3 linked regions of the Schizosaccharomyces pombe genome follow. The protein of the gene in region 2 binds, or shares a complex with, the protein of the main gene of each other region. Each region holds a gene or a part of one and is shown on either strand. Other genes may lie near its edges.

Region 1 (4,336 bases), 1.7 Mb from region 2:
TTGACTCAAGTATAGATATAAGGTAATTAGGAAAAGTAGAAACGAGATCATTTTGTACTCCGTTTACATGCATGGCTCGAAAATCTTCATGATTCTTTATCGGTTAAATACAATCTCTTTGAAACAGTAATTGCAGGTAAATATTTCACAATTAGAATACCTTACCATGGAAAACCCTTTCATCAGTAGATTCCTTCGACGCTCAAAACTTTCATCGAACATCTGTTTTACAACATTCGCTATTAGCTGCCCATATATTAGCTATCCCGAATAGAAAAAAATCAAAACAAAAATATATATACCTCTGACTGTGAGCATTTTGGAGAAGAAAATTGAACACCTTCATCTGGCTTACTGTCGAAGCCGACTACAGTCGAATGAAGAAAAATAGAAAAGGACGTTTGTACATCGCTTCTCAAGCGTTCGCATATATTGCTATACGAGCTTGCCGGCGACCCTCTCAAAACAAGTTGTACATAATCATTTAAGGTACATAGGTATACATATTGATTCTCTAGAAAGCGAAGAATCCTGCTTTTGGGGGTATGGTGTTCGGTCATGCAAGTTACAAGTAACCATTAAGCATAACTATATATATGCAAAGTGTCCTACTGATCATAACGTTTTAAATAAATAGTGACCGCAAATATTGATTAATATTTATAATTATAGGATTTTTTTTATATAATGATAGCTAATAAATGTTTTGCAAAGTATCTTTAAACTAATAACATTACACGAGTAGAATCACCAATCTTTCTACTACTATCAATTATAAGCGAAACTAATTTAGATTATTCATTAGGGGGAATAGTGAAAAAGGTACGATTCCAGGAGTAAAACGGAAAAAAGCCTAATACGAGATGATACATATTTGGAACAACATGAGAATAGAAAATAGAAAAATAAAACCGCGTTAAAGGAGTTGTAGTGGATAGAAATTTTTGAATATCTCAATCATGCTAGACGTGTGCAAGCATCAAAAAACTTTCGCGGATTACCACCACTAAGGACATGATTTTGCAAATAATTATCAACCTTTTCAAGGCAAACGTTGGATGATACCAAATACTCCATCATGCGACGTGACTCATCTAAAGTGTAAGGCTCCATGTTAAGAATATGCACGGACTGTAATGAATCTAATATAGTCTCATCAGAAGATTTGTAAGGATTTCTGTGAGCTACTCCAAGAGCTATATCCAATGACGGGGTAGAAACACGCGGTTGGCTAGAAGTAGCAGCTAAAACAGTACCACGATTAAAAGTAAGCGAACCCGAAATATATTTGAAAAGTAAATTAATAAAGTAAAAGTCTTTAGGGGGAAGGAAGTTGTTCTTTTTGTCCTTATACTTGGTAACGACCGATAAAATAGAAATATTATCGATCACTAATAACACCTTCATATTGGAATTTGACTTGGTATTGTTATTGAGTTCTTGTAAAAATATTTCCAGAGATTTAGGAGCGTTCGAGGAAGCAATTAGCTTATGAAGAAAGGAAAGTAAATCGGTACCAGCAGGAATGCATTCGTTCTGAAGCAACTCATGACTTTCAAAGGTCTTTAGCTTCTTAAGTTTATCAGAATTAGTTTTCATAACAGAAGTTAGAAATCCCTTAATTAAATCTGGTTGCACCCACAACTTGAGTTGCTCATCATAACCATAACTACTCGTTGAATTTACCCATCCTTCGCAGTTATGGACTGGCAAGACTATAAAATTAGGTTGTGATAAGGCGAAAAGTTCAGCTTGTATGAGAGCAATACTTCTTCCTGAACCTGGAGCACCATCAAGAAGAAAACGTCCGTCCTTCGTACCCTGGTCTTTGGAGCGCTGCAGTACATTCACTAATTCAGTTGTAATTTTCCTGTGCAAAAGGGAAGCACTGGTAAAAAAGGAGAAACTTTTTTTTTGTTTTTCTAAAGCCCCAAATCCATTAAGTTTATTAAGCAATTCCTCGGGGATTTTAAACATCTTACCTTCAGACTTGCTGGACCAAGACATATGCGGATGAATTTCAGAGGGCTTCACCTCTTCTAAAGTATTTTCTCCTTCATTTAAGAGATGATCCAATACAACGCTACTATTGGGAATAGTCGTCGATTTCTCTACTGACGAAGTTGAGGGGGGAATTTCATTAATTCTTGGCGCTTCCGAATTTTTTTGACGCTGCTGGTTAGAGCTTGAATGTATATTTCCTCCAACAGGTCTACCCGTATGCTGGTATTGTGAGGATGAATAGTATTTGTTAAATGTGCATTTTTCAAAAGTGTAGAGTCCTCCCAGTTTACTACCGCAAACAGTCAGTTTTCCACCGGACAGGATATTAGAAATTCTCTCTGTATTCTTAATAATACTACTTCTGCTTCTAAACTTCGGTAGCATTTTGTTAGAGGTATTTTTTTCTCGTAAATCTTAAGTATACATATCTGTTCTCACGTAAATGAAGAGACTGACTGCTTCCGGATGGTAAGTATTTACTGAGCTCTTAGCGCATTGCTAATATTTTTTAATAGGGTAGATTTGGCGTTCAGTAATAAAGAGAACTAACGTATTGCTAATAAGTGTCTCTACTTTTGCAAAAACTAAAGAATCGTAAAAGTTTTCTTACTTTCTTCGTTTGTCATAAAGAAAGTAAAAACAGTAGATTGCTGAACTGAAAGAGAGCTTTTTCTCTTATATATTCAGTAGTTTGATAAAAATTTTGGAGTTTGAAAGAAGAATTTCGTATCCTGAACCAACTTTTTAACAAATCAATTTTGCAGTCTTTTTTGAGAACTTTTTGTCACTTAATTGTATTATCAACCCTTTTTTTTTCCTTGTCCCTATTTCGTTAATCATGTCTGCACAAATAGAAAACTCCATTCCTCTAGATTTCGATTTGGGAAATATGGCTGCATTTGATATTTCTCCCTTAGATGAAACTAAGCTTAGCGGTTCAGAGAAAGAATCATTCCTTTTTTCTCTCAGTAGAGATAACGTTCAACAATTGGTGAACAAAATGATTTCCTTGCCTAAGGAGCGTACATCAGATGGCGTCCTTTTACAGCTTCCTGAAACTGTTACACCTCTTCCTCGTGCTAAACCTTTACCTAAACCCAAGCCCGAAACCAAATGGCAACGGTTTGCTCGTATTAAAGGTATTGCTCCTAAGAAGCGGGAAGGCAGGTTGGTGTTTGATGAAGCATCTGGTGAATGGGTACCAAAATGGGGTTATAAGGGTAAAAATAAGGAATTAGAGACACAATGGCTTGTTGAAGAGGGAGAAAAGGAAAAGAAGCTTACTTCCAAGCAAGTGAGAAATACCTCAAAAAAAATCAAGCGCTCTCGTCGCCATTAATTGGTCCTGCTTAAAAAAAATTTTTCTTAATTTAAAAATTTACTATAATTTAGCTATTCATGGGTTAAGTGGTATAATATCATTTTTATTTTGTTATTATCGTTTGTTTTTGTTTGCTACAACTAAAATCCCTTCTTCAATTGGGATATCAACGGGTACAGAAGGAATATGTAAGACATCGGTTATGTGGCTGCTTTGTTTACACATTTTTATGTGTTAAAAATTAACGAGCACTTTTTTGAAGCTGCTACTCGAAAATCGAACGTTAAAATGTTGAATGTTTACGAGTTAAGTGTAAAGTAAGTTTTAACAGCAACTGTTTTGATACACTGTGGGATTTCCTCCAATTGAATTTTCTAATAACCTCTTGTAAAAAAAGTTTCATACAGTTAAAATGCGACCATATCGTAGTTAATTATTATTTTCTGTATGCAGTCTTAAAAGGCTGGAACATCATATTAAGAGCCCAACTCATGGCTAACTGATATGCAACATTTTTGAAATGTTCAACAAACAGAATTTCATCAGACTCAACAATAACAATCCTTTCTAAATTACTATATAGATTGCAACATCAGTCTAAATATCTGAATGCATTAGTGGTGTAGCGGTAACATTGGAGCTTCCCATGCTCTAGCTCCGGGTTCGACTCCCGGCTGATGCAAATATAGCTGTGAATTTTTAAAAATATAATTGTTTATGTTCTAAAATTGGTTTTTGCATTTTCTATGAATGATATACTCAATCAAAACATATCCTTTTGAGTGGTAAACATAAATTTTTAGTAGATTATATAAATAAATGTGCAAGCCATACTTCAATTTCTAATCATTTTTAAACCGAGTGTATAATAAGTTTTCTAATACTGACTTGTTTATTTAAATATTTAACATAATAATTAATTTTGATATGAGATTGATGCTTTTAGTAGTAATAATAAAAAAAATTTAAAAAATGCAAATAAATAGAAAAAAAATTAAAGAAAAACTCATT
Region 2 (3,543 bases):
AGTACAAGGCAATTTTGAACGCGTACTTCATCATGGACTATACAATCGGCGCCCATAACAGTAATAGCTTGGACTTTAACGCTGTTACGCATAATCGTAGTGGAGTGCTGGCTTGGAAGAGTTGGAGAACCTTCGACTCGAGACCATTTACCAATCTTGCAATGGCGGGAAAGAATGGAATGTAAAACAACAGCATTGGCAGAAATTTCGCAATCCTCTTGAATAATTGAGTTTCGAATACGTGCGCCATCCTCGATGCGAACACGAGCACCAATTGAAACATTGGGTCCAATCTTTGCACCTTTGCTAACAATAGCATTAGGATGAATAAAAACCGGCTGAATGATCTCAGCCTCAGTGTCGGGTTTTGGAAGAGTACCATCATGATATGCCTTTTGTAAATACAAGGAATTAGCAGGAACAGCAGAGCCAGCGGTTTTTATTTGACGCCAGAACTCAGGAGTATTATAAGCATAAATGGCTTTAGAGGAATCTGAGCACAATGGAGCAAGCACATCGGTCTCCAAACTGAGGTAGTCTTCCATTCCTTCATCCAAGGACCTGAGTTGCTTCTCGACCTCCTCAAGTCTACGCTCGTACGCTTTTTTGATTTCATCGAATATAGAGGCATCAAAGATATAAATACCACATGAAATAATATTTGAAAGATAGGAGCTTGGCTTATCAACATAATGAAGTACACGCCCAGTACTTGGTTCCTCTACAAGGCAACCGAAGTTAGAAGCATCTTCTTTACTAACCTTAGTAGCCATTAAAGTAACTAAAGCTTTCTTCTCGTGATGAACGTTTAACAATTCTTGTAAGGGAAAACTGCAACACACATCCGCATGCATAACAAAAACATTAGAAGTATGTCCTTTAAGGATTTGATCACGGAAATGGTATAAGCCGCCACCAGTTCCTAAGCAGTTGTATTCACGGAGATACTTGATACGATTGAAACTGGGGAAATGCGAAGCTACTTCGTTGATAAAATCTTTGAAAACGCTTTCATCGTAGAAACCAACCAAAAAGACATCTTTAACACTTTCAATCTTGGATAAAGCCGCCAAATGATGGTAAATCATTTCTCGTCCTCCAATTTTAAACAAAGGCTAATTTAGTTAGCAAAATAGCTCTTATGTTTCAAATGCAACTAGAAAGTAAAACTGGATTACGTATTTTACCAACATATAAATTCTAAATAAGACGTACTTTAGGGACATCAAACGAAAGAGGGCGGAATCGGGTACCACTGCAAAGTAATTAGTTACTGATATTCACGCGTTTAATAGACTTATTTTTCGTTGGTACGTACCGAGATGGACCCCCGACCAGAATGACAGCAGAGGAAATCATAATAGCAATTTAATACTAAAAAATCAATAATGAGTATCAAAATCACCAAAAACGAAAGAGATATACGCCTCTTGAAACTTGGTGTGTGGTTCTGTGCAAGTCCTGTCCAGCTCTCCTTTGTTTAATAAGGAAGGTAGCGCTATGAGCTAACTTCTGCCAGTTCATATTTGCACTTAATAGCCTGGCTGCAGAAGATAATACTCTATGTAACAATGAAATACTAATGTAAATCAATTTAGTTCAAAAACCCATGATCTAAAAATTGTGCTGCAGGCTGAGGCACTTTGCCAGCCGTGAGGAACTTAATGCTCATCATCAGCTGTTTTGCAGAAAATAGTAAAGCACCTTCTAGCTTTGGTACAAATTATAATGCATTAAAACTTAAATAAATAAAATTTACTAATTGAATTTTCGAGTAAAAGTAGCCTTTTTAAAAATTTGTTCTCTTTAATCACCTTTATGAATTTACCATCAACTTCACGCACTACGCTGGAAGATTGGACTCTCGTGACAAAGACTTAATTGCTCATGAAGGGGAAATTTAGGTTCTCTTTAAAGCGCGGTGTATGTTATATATGAAATTATTGATTTTTTCGCTTTTATTAATACATATCTAGCTTTTGCGTCCGTCGTGGAACAAATACAATATATACAACATTGCAAGAAAACAACTACCTGCTCTGAATAATAGAACTTTATATCAAAAAAAATGGAATGCGAAGAAGGAAACAAGGTCTTATCATGGTCCTCAATTACGCGAATATCAACTGAAAAATGCCTTCCGCCCAAAATTGGAGGGGGTTATTTCTTCCTTAGATAATAAGCTTCCCATCCCTTTTATGAATCAGACTTATGCATTTTTGGAATCCCGTTTAGACATGTCTATTCATCGAGCGTTATTTGCGTCTAGCGCTTTACAGGCTCGCCAACTGGTGCTTCATGGAAAAGTGCACGTAAACGGAAAACCTGAACGCCGTGCCTATCGTCAACTCTTACCTGGTGATTTAGTAACTGTTGATCAAAAATCAGTAATGAATTGTGTTTCTGCCTCTAGTAACAATACCCCTTCTATACAGGATGGGAAGCAAACTGAACAGGTGTCCTCTAAGGATGGAGAAAATGAAAAAAAAAAGGATAATGATGATGATTTATTTGAACAGACTTCTAATGGAAAGTTGCCCTCTATCAATGAAACAATTTCCAACTTTGTTCCTAAACCGTTTATGTCACTAATGGCATTTATCCCTGCTTATTTAGAAGTTTGCTTCCGCACTTGTTCCTTTGTTTATGTGCGTGATCCAGTTGCTCGTCCTGGCTTAACGGAAGTTCCTTCTCCATTTCCTGAAGACTTGCACGCTTTAGCCTATACATACTATATCAGAAGTCGTAATATGCGGCAAGGAGCAGCTAGATGTCAGGCCAGACGGCTTATTCCGCAGAAAGTACGCGATGCATCATTTTATCAAGGACCTCCTGAATTATATAAAAAACGAAATGTTTCTCCCAAAGAAGCATTCTCTCATCGGTATCCAGTTCGTCAAGGAAAGTTGACGAAACTCGTATAAATCGAATAAATGAACTCCTCTCAAAAGTTTAGTAATAAAATATAAAACATTCTCAATTATGCTTTTTGTAATACTATGTTGATTTCCACTTTTGTTTTCCTGCTCTATGAAGTAACTGCCCTGTCTACTGCTATCCACGTAACCAAATCTTATACACATACAAGAACTGGCACATCTTTTTTCATGTACCAAAAGGAGGCCTTTTATCGTGGACGTAGCTCAACAAGACAATTTAACAATACCCGATCTCCATCTGGACGTTCAGCGTCGCGTTCTTCCAATTTCTCACATCGGTCTAGTAGTCGTGATTCTTTTTCCTCGAATAGATCTTACTCGAGTTCGCTTTCCAGATCTCCAGAAGAACCATTGCGAACAGTACGTTTTCCATGTATAATTAGTTATTTAAGGCATACTAATCGTTTCTAATACGATGCAAAATAGATTCTTGTGGAAAATTTGACGCGTAATGTCACTAAAGAACATATAGCAGAAATATTTGGGATTTATGGACTAATTGATCATATTTTCATGCCAATTTATAAAAAATGTGAGTGAGCTTTTATTTTTTATGAATTACACCCACTAACTTTGCAGCTGAATTGAATAAAGGGTATTGCTA
Region 3 (3,338 bases), on a different chromosome or scaffold from region 2:
CTACTACTAATGATTGCGACGTAATGAGACCTCGTCAATATTCATATTCAGCGGGTATGAAATCAGATGGTAGTTTGCTCCCTTCTACTAAACATACTTCGTTAAGCTCGAGTTCCACGTCTACCTCCCTATCAGTTCGAAATACCACGAATGTTAAAATTCGTCTCCGTTTACATGAGGTTAGTCTCGTCCTGGTTGTTGCTCATGATATAACATTTGATGAGCTGTTAGCCAAGGTAGAACATAAAATAAAGCTTTGTGGGATTTTGAAACAAGCTGTTCCTTTTCGGGTTAGACTGAAGTATGTTGATGAGGATGGCGATTTTATAACCATCACATCCGATGAAGACGTTTTAATGGCATTTGAAACGTGCACGTTTGAACTTATGGATCCTGTCCATAATAAAGGAATGGATACTGTGTCTTTGCACGTTGTTGTTTATTTCTAAACTAGCATTGTGCTAGCTGTACATTGTCAATTTAATTTATATAGAGGAAATTAACAGTTTAGTCGATGAACTAATTTACTTTCCCTTCTTTGTTTTGAAAAAACAACAATATACTTCATAGAAGATAAATTCTGTAGCATTTCCGTTAACTGAAAAGGAGCTGTAGAAGAATGTTGATGAATATTATGAAAGTTATTTTACAACCAAACTATAACCTCATAAACATGAATATGATTAACTGCGCACTACGTAGTATAATTGAGTTGATAACTAAGAGTAATCAATTCTCGATATACTAGACAAAAATAACATTACTAAAAGGGAATGCAATTCATAAAAAAGATAAAAATGTACGGAATTTTTGTTTTTATATACGAACGGGTGCATTACCTCTGTTAACAAGGCACATTCTGTGCAGATGATCTTTCTTTTTGAAACAATTGCTTGTCTTGCTCCTGATAGCAATGATTTCTTTAACAATACGATCTGATAATCTTTTAGGACTTGATGATTTACATTCACCGAGGATCCATTGTAACGCAATCCTTCTTCGCTGTCGCTCTTTCAATGGCATAGGAAATTCGACACTTTTGTTAAATCGCTTTGCAGAAACCTATCAAAATATTAGCAAATCCGTCTACACACTATAAAAAGAAATAATTCACAAAAAATTCCAAAATTTTCAATAATTTCGACGTACCAACTTCATTAAGGGAGAAATCTCAGCGATTGCTTGTTTCAAAACATCTATAGGATTTTCACCGGTTTCTTTTTGTATGATAGAGAGCGCTGTTGCAACAATCTTTTCAGCTTTAGCTTTTTTCCCATCTCGCATTATTAAATTCACCAAATGCTGTACTGTAGAGTCGACCTGAAATGGTCGATCTATTAACCCTACAATTGAACTTGACGGAGAAGGCCACAGATTTGTACCCATTAGCGGCGGTTCTTCATTTTCAACTTCAATTTTTTTCTCTAATTCACCCATAAAATCGTCGGAGGCAGACTGTTCGACAGAATCTTGAAGTTGATTCAGTAAATTTTCGAGTCCCGCATTATCCCATTGTGGATTTGAACGTTCATTGATATCTTCAATTTTTTCATTATATTTTTCATTTGAGGTAAATTTTCCAACTTGAAAAGTACGAGTCTGATGGATAAAAACAAGCGACTCTTTCATCAAATGTCCCGAACTCGCACATCGAAACAAAGGTTGCTTTATGAGTCGTAGCATGGCCCTTTATTGTTTGTTCTTTCTTCTTGAATGAAATTTTTAAAACAATTACTCTTATTAATCAAAGCATGTAGGAAAGCTAAGGTGTGCGTAGATGTTTAAGCTTAGTACATATACACTATGGATAAATGAAAGAAAAGGGAAGGGAACTAGGCGCTAGCGTGCTACATTTCAAAGTCGTTTGGCTATTTATTTATTAACTTGAAATAAGATAAATTAGGTAATCGATGTTAAAATATTCATCATTAATTGTGTATCCAAATTTAATACTTGAGCTAGACACAGTTTTATTGGGATCATACAGAACTGATACCTTGAAAGAAAGTAAAAAAAAAAGTTATATATAATATACAGAGAAGCGATAAATTGAAAAATTGTAAAAACAAGCATTTAAAACAAAAGAGAGAAATTATGGGACATTAATTAATTGAACATCAGTTTATAACATACTATATTCGTGTCATAAAACGAATTTTAATAAATAATAAAATCTATAAAGACATAAAAACATTAGATTTTGGCCTATGAGCACAGTAATCTAAAAACAGTTTTGATTGTCTTTTGAATCTATAAACCAAAACAAAAGTTTTTTAATTCAAGAGTTGTATAAACAGAAAAAGAGCCATATCCAGCATTTCAATGTTCATTTTTTCCAGCCTTTATGAAGAAAGAACATTAAGTCCAATAAAGAATATATCAATATATCATTAACCTCTATATGGAAAAACAGAAACAATTACCTTTTACAAGCACAATTGAGTTTCCAAAGACATTATCAAACCTAAGCAGGAGGATAAGACATTCGTCTTTGATACTCCGAGATTGACGTATCAATAGAAGTGAGCGTACAGGATACCAACTAATCCTAGTTAATAATCAAAATCTCTACAAAAAAAACTTACCTCATAAACCAGTTTTGGATCAACGTTTTGTTCCTGAGCCTGGCTCGCAATTGCCTCCACCCTTTTTTTCGAATTTAACAGAGCATTCTGAAGGGGGGCCATCGCCTTCTTGTCCGGGAAAGTTGTATTCAACAAGGCATTCCAAAATTGATGCAAAAATTCTATCGTAACGGTATGGCACAAAACAATTTCATTTTTTATGTCAATAGGTAAATTTGATGCAGTGCCGTGGGTCTCAAACTCATGCTTTTCGCGCATACTCTGAGTAAGCTGCATAGCGGCTTCAGCCAAAGAGTCAGAATCATGTTCAATGTGATTTAAGCTTATCGAATCTTCCTGGTATAAATGTTGAAGAGCTTCCAATGAAGGCAAAGGCTCTAAACCAACTTGATTTTTTGAGGGGACAAAATTATTTTCCAATAACTGATCTTGACCTTTGATTTTTAAGACAACTTTAGAGTCACTGGCTTCTTCTTCTAAATCGTGAAAACCAGATTCTTTTAAGTATGTTTCTTCATTTTCGTTGTTAAATCGTTTAGAGTTTCTACAAGTTGTTAGGCATACCGAAGCAATAACAATTAATAAAACCGAATATACATACCCCAAACTTTTTTCCAAAAGTCTTTCCGAAAGCTGATTGATGTTTTTCATAAACGGTAGAGCTTCTTTGTCAATTCGCATAGTGATATCAGGTCTAAGTTCTGCTATTACATTTGCATTTTGATCATTTCCTTCTAAATCAAAGAGGTGCGA

Evidence for each region. The genes of interacting proteins can lie anywhere in the genome.
Region 1: nam9 (region 2) and rsm23 share a complex: the UniProt entries of both Schizosaccharomyces pombe proteins name them as parts of the mitochondrial small ribosomal subunit.
Region 3: nam9 (region 2) and rsm7 share a complex: the UniProt entries of both Schizosaccharomyces pombe proteins name them as parts of the mitochondrial small ribosomal subunit.

What each region holds. Positions count from the first base shown.
Region 1 is NC_003423.3:2,065,551-2,069,886, forward strand, and holds rsm23 (mitochondrial 37S ribosomal protein mS29), read right to left. Parts: upstream 2,441-4,336; 5' UTR 2,389-2,440; coding exon 958-2,388; 3' UTR 637-957; downstream 1-636. Other genes in the region: telomerase reverse transcriptase 1 protein Trt1, read right to left, coding at 1-94, 166-246, 303-560; ribosome biogenesis protein Rrs1, read left to right, coding at 2,843-3,343. UniProt on the Schizosaccharomyces pombe protein: Component of the mitochondrial ribosome (mitoribosome), a dedicated translation machinery responsible for the synthesis of mitochondrial genome-encoded proteins, including at least some of the essential transmembrane subunits of the mitochondrial respiratory chain.
Region 2 is NC_003423.3:3,727,633-3,731,175, reverse strand, and holds nam9 (mitochondrial 37S ribosomal protein uS4m), read left to right. Parts: upstream 1-1,826; 5' UTR 1,827-1,887; coding exon 1,888-1,923; intron 1,924-1,976; coding exon 1,977-2,924; 3' UTR 2,925-2,981; downstream 2,982-3,543. Other genes in the region: mpg2 (mannose-1-phosphate guanyltransferase), read right to left, coding at 1-1,115, 1,216-1,255, 1,319-1,359; rns1 (putative RNA-binding protein), read left to right, coding at 3,108-3,299, 3,366-3,471, 3,519-3,543. UniProt on the Schizosaccharomyces pombe protein: Component of the mitochondrial ribosome (mitoribosome), a dedicated translation machinery responsible for the synthesis of mitochondrial genome-encoded proteins, including at least some of the essential transmembrane subunits of the mitochondrial respiratory chain.
Region 3 is NC_003424.3:3,518,078-3,521,415, forward strand, and holds rsm7 (mitochondrial 37S ribosomal protein uS7m), read right to left. Parts: upstream 1,765-3,338; 5' UTR 1,684-1,764; coding exon 1,150-1,683; intron 1,063-1,149; coding exon 817-1,062; 3' UTR 637-816; downstream 1-636. Other genes in the region: RhoGEF Scd1, read left to right, coding at 1-449; transcription factor TFIIH complex subunit Tfb1, read right to left, coding at 2,465-2,542, 2,586-3,129, 3,187-3,338. UniProt on the Schizosaccharomyces pombe protein: Component of the mitochondrial ribosome (mitoribosome), a dedicated translation machinery responsible for the synthesis of mitochondrial genome-encoded proteins, including at least some of the essential transmembrane subunits of the mitochondrial respiratory chain.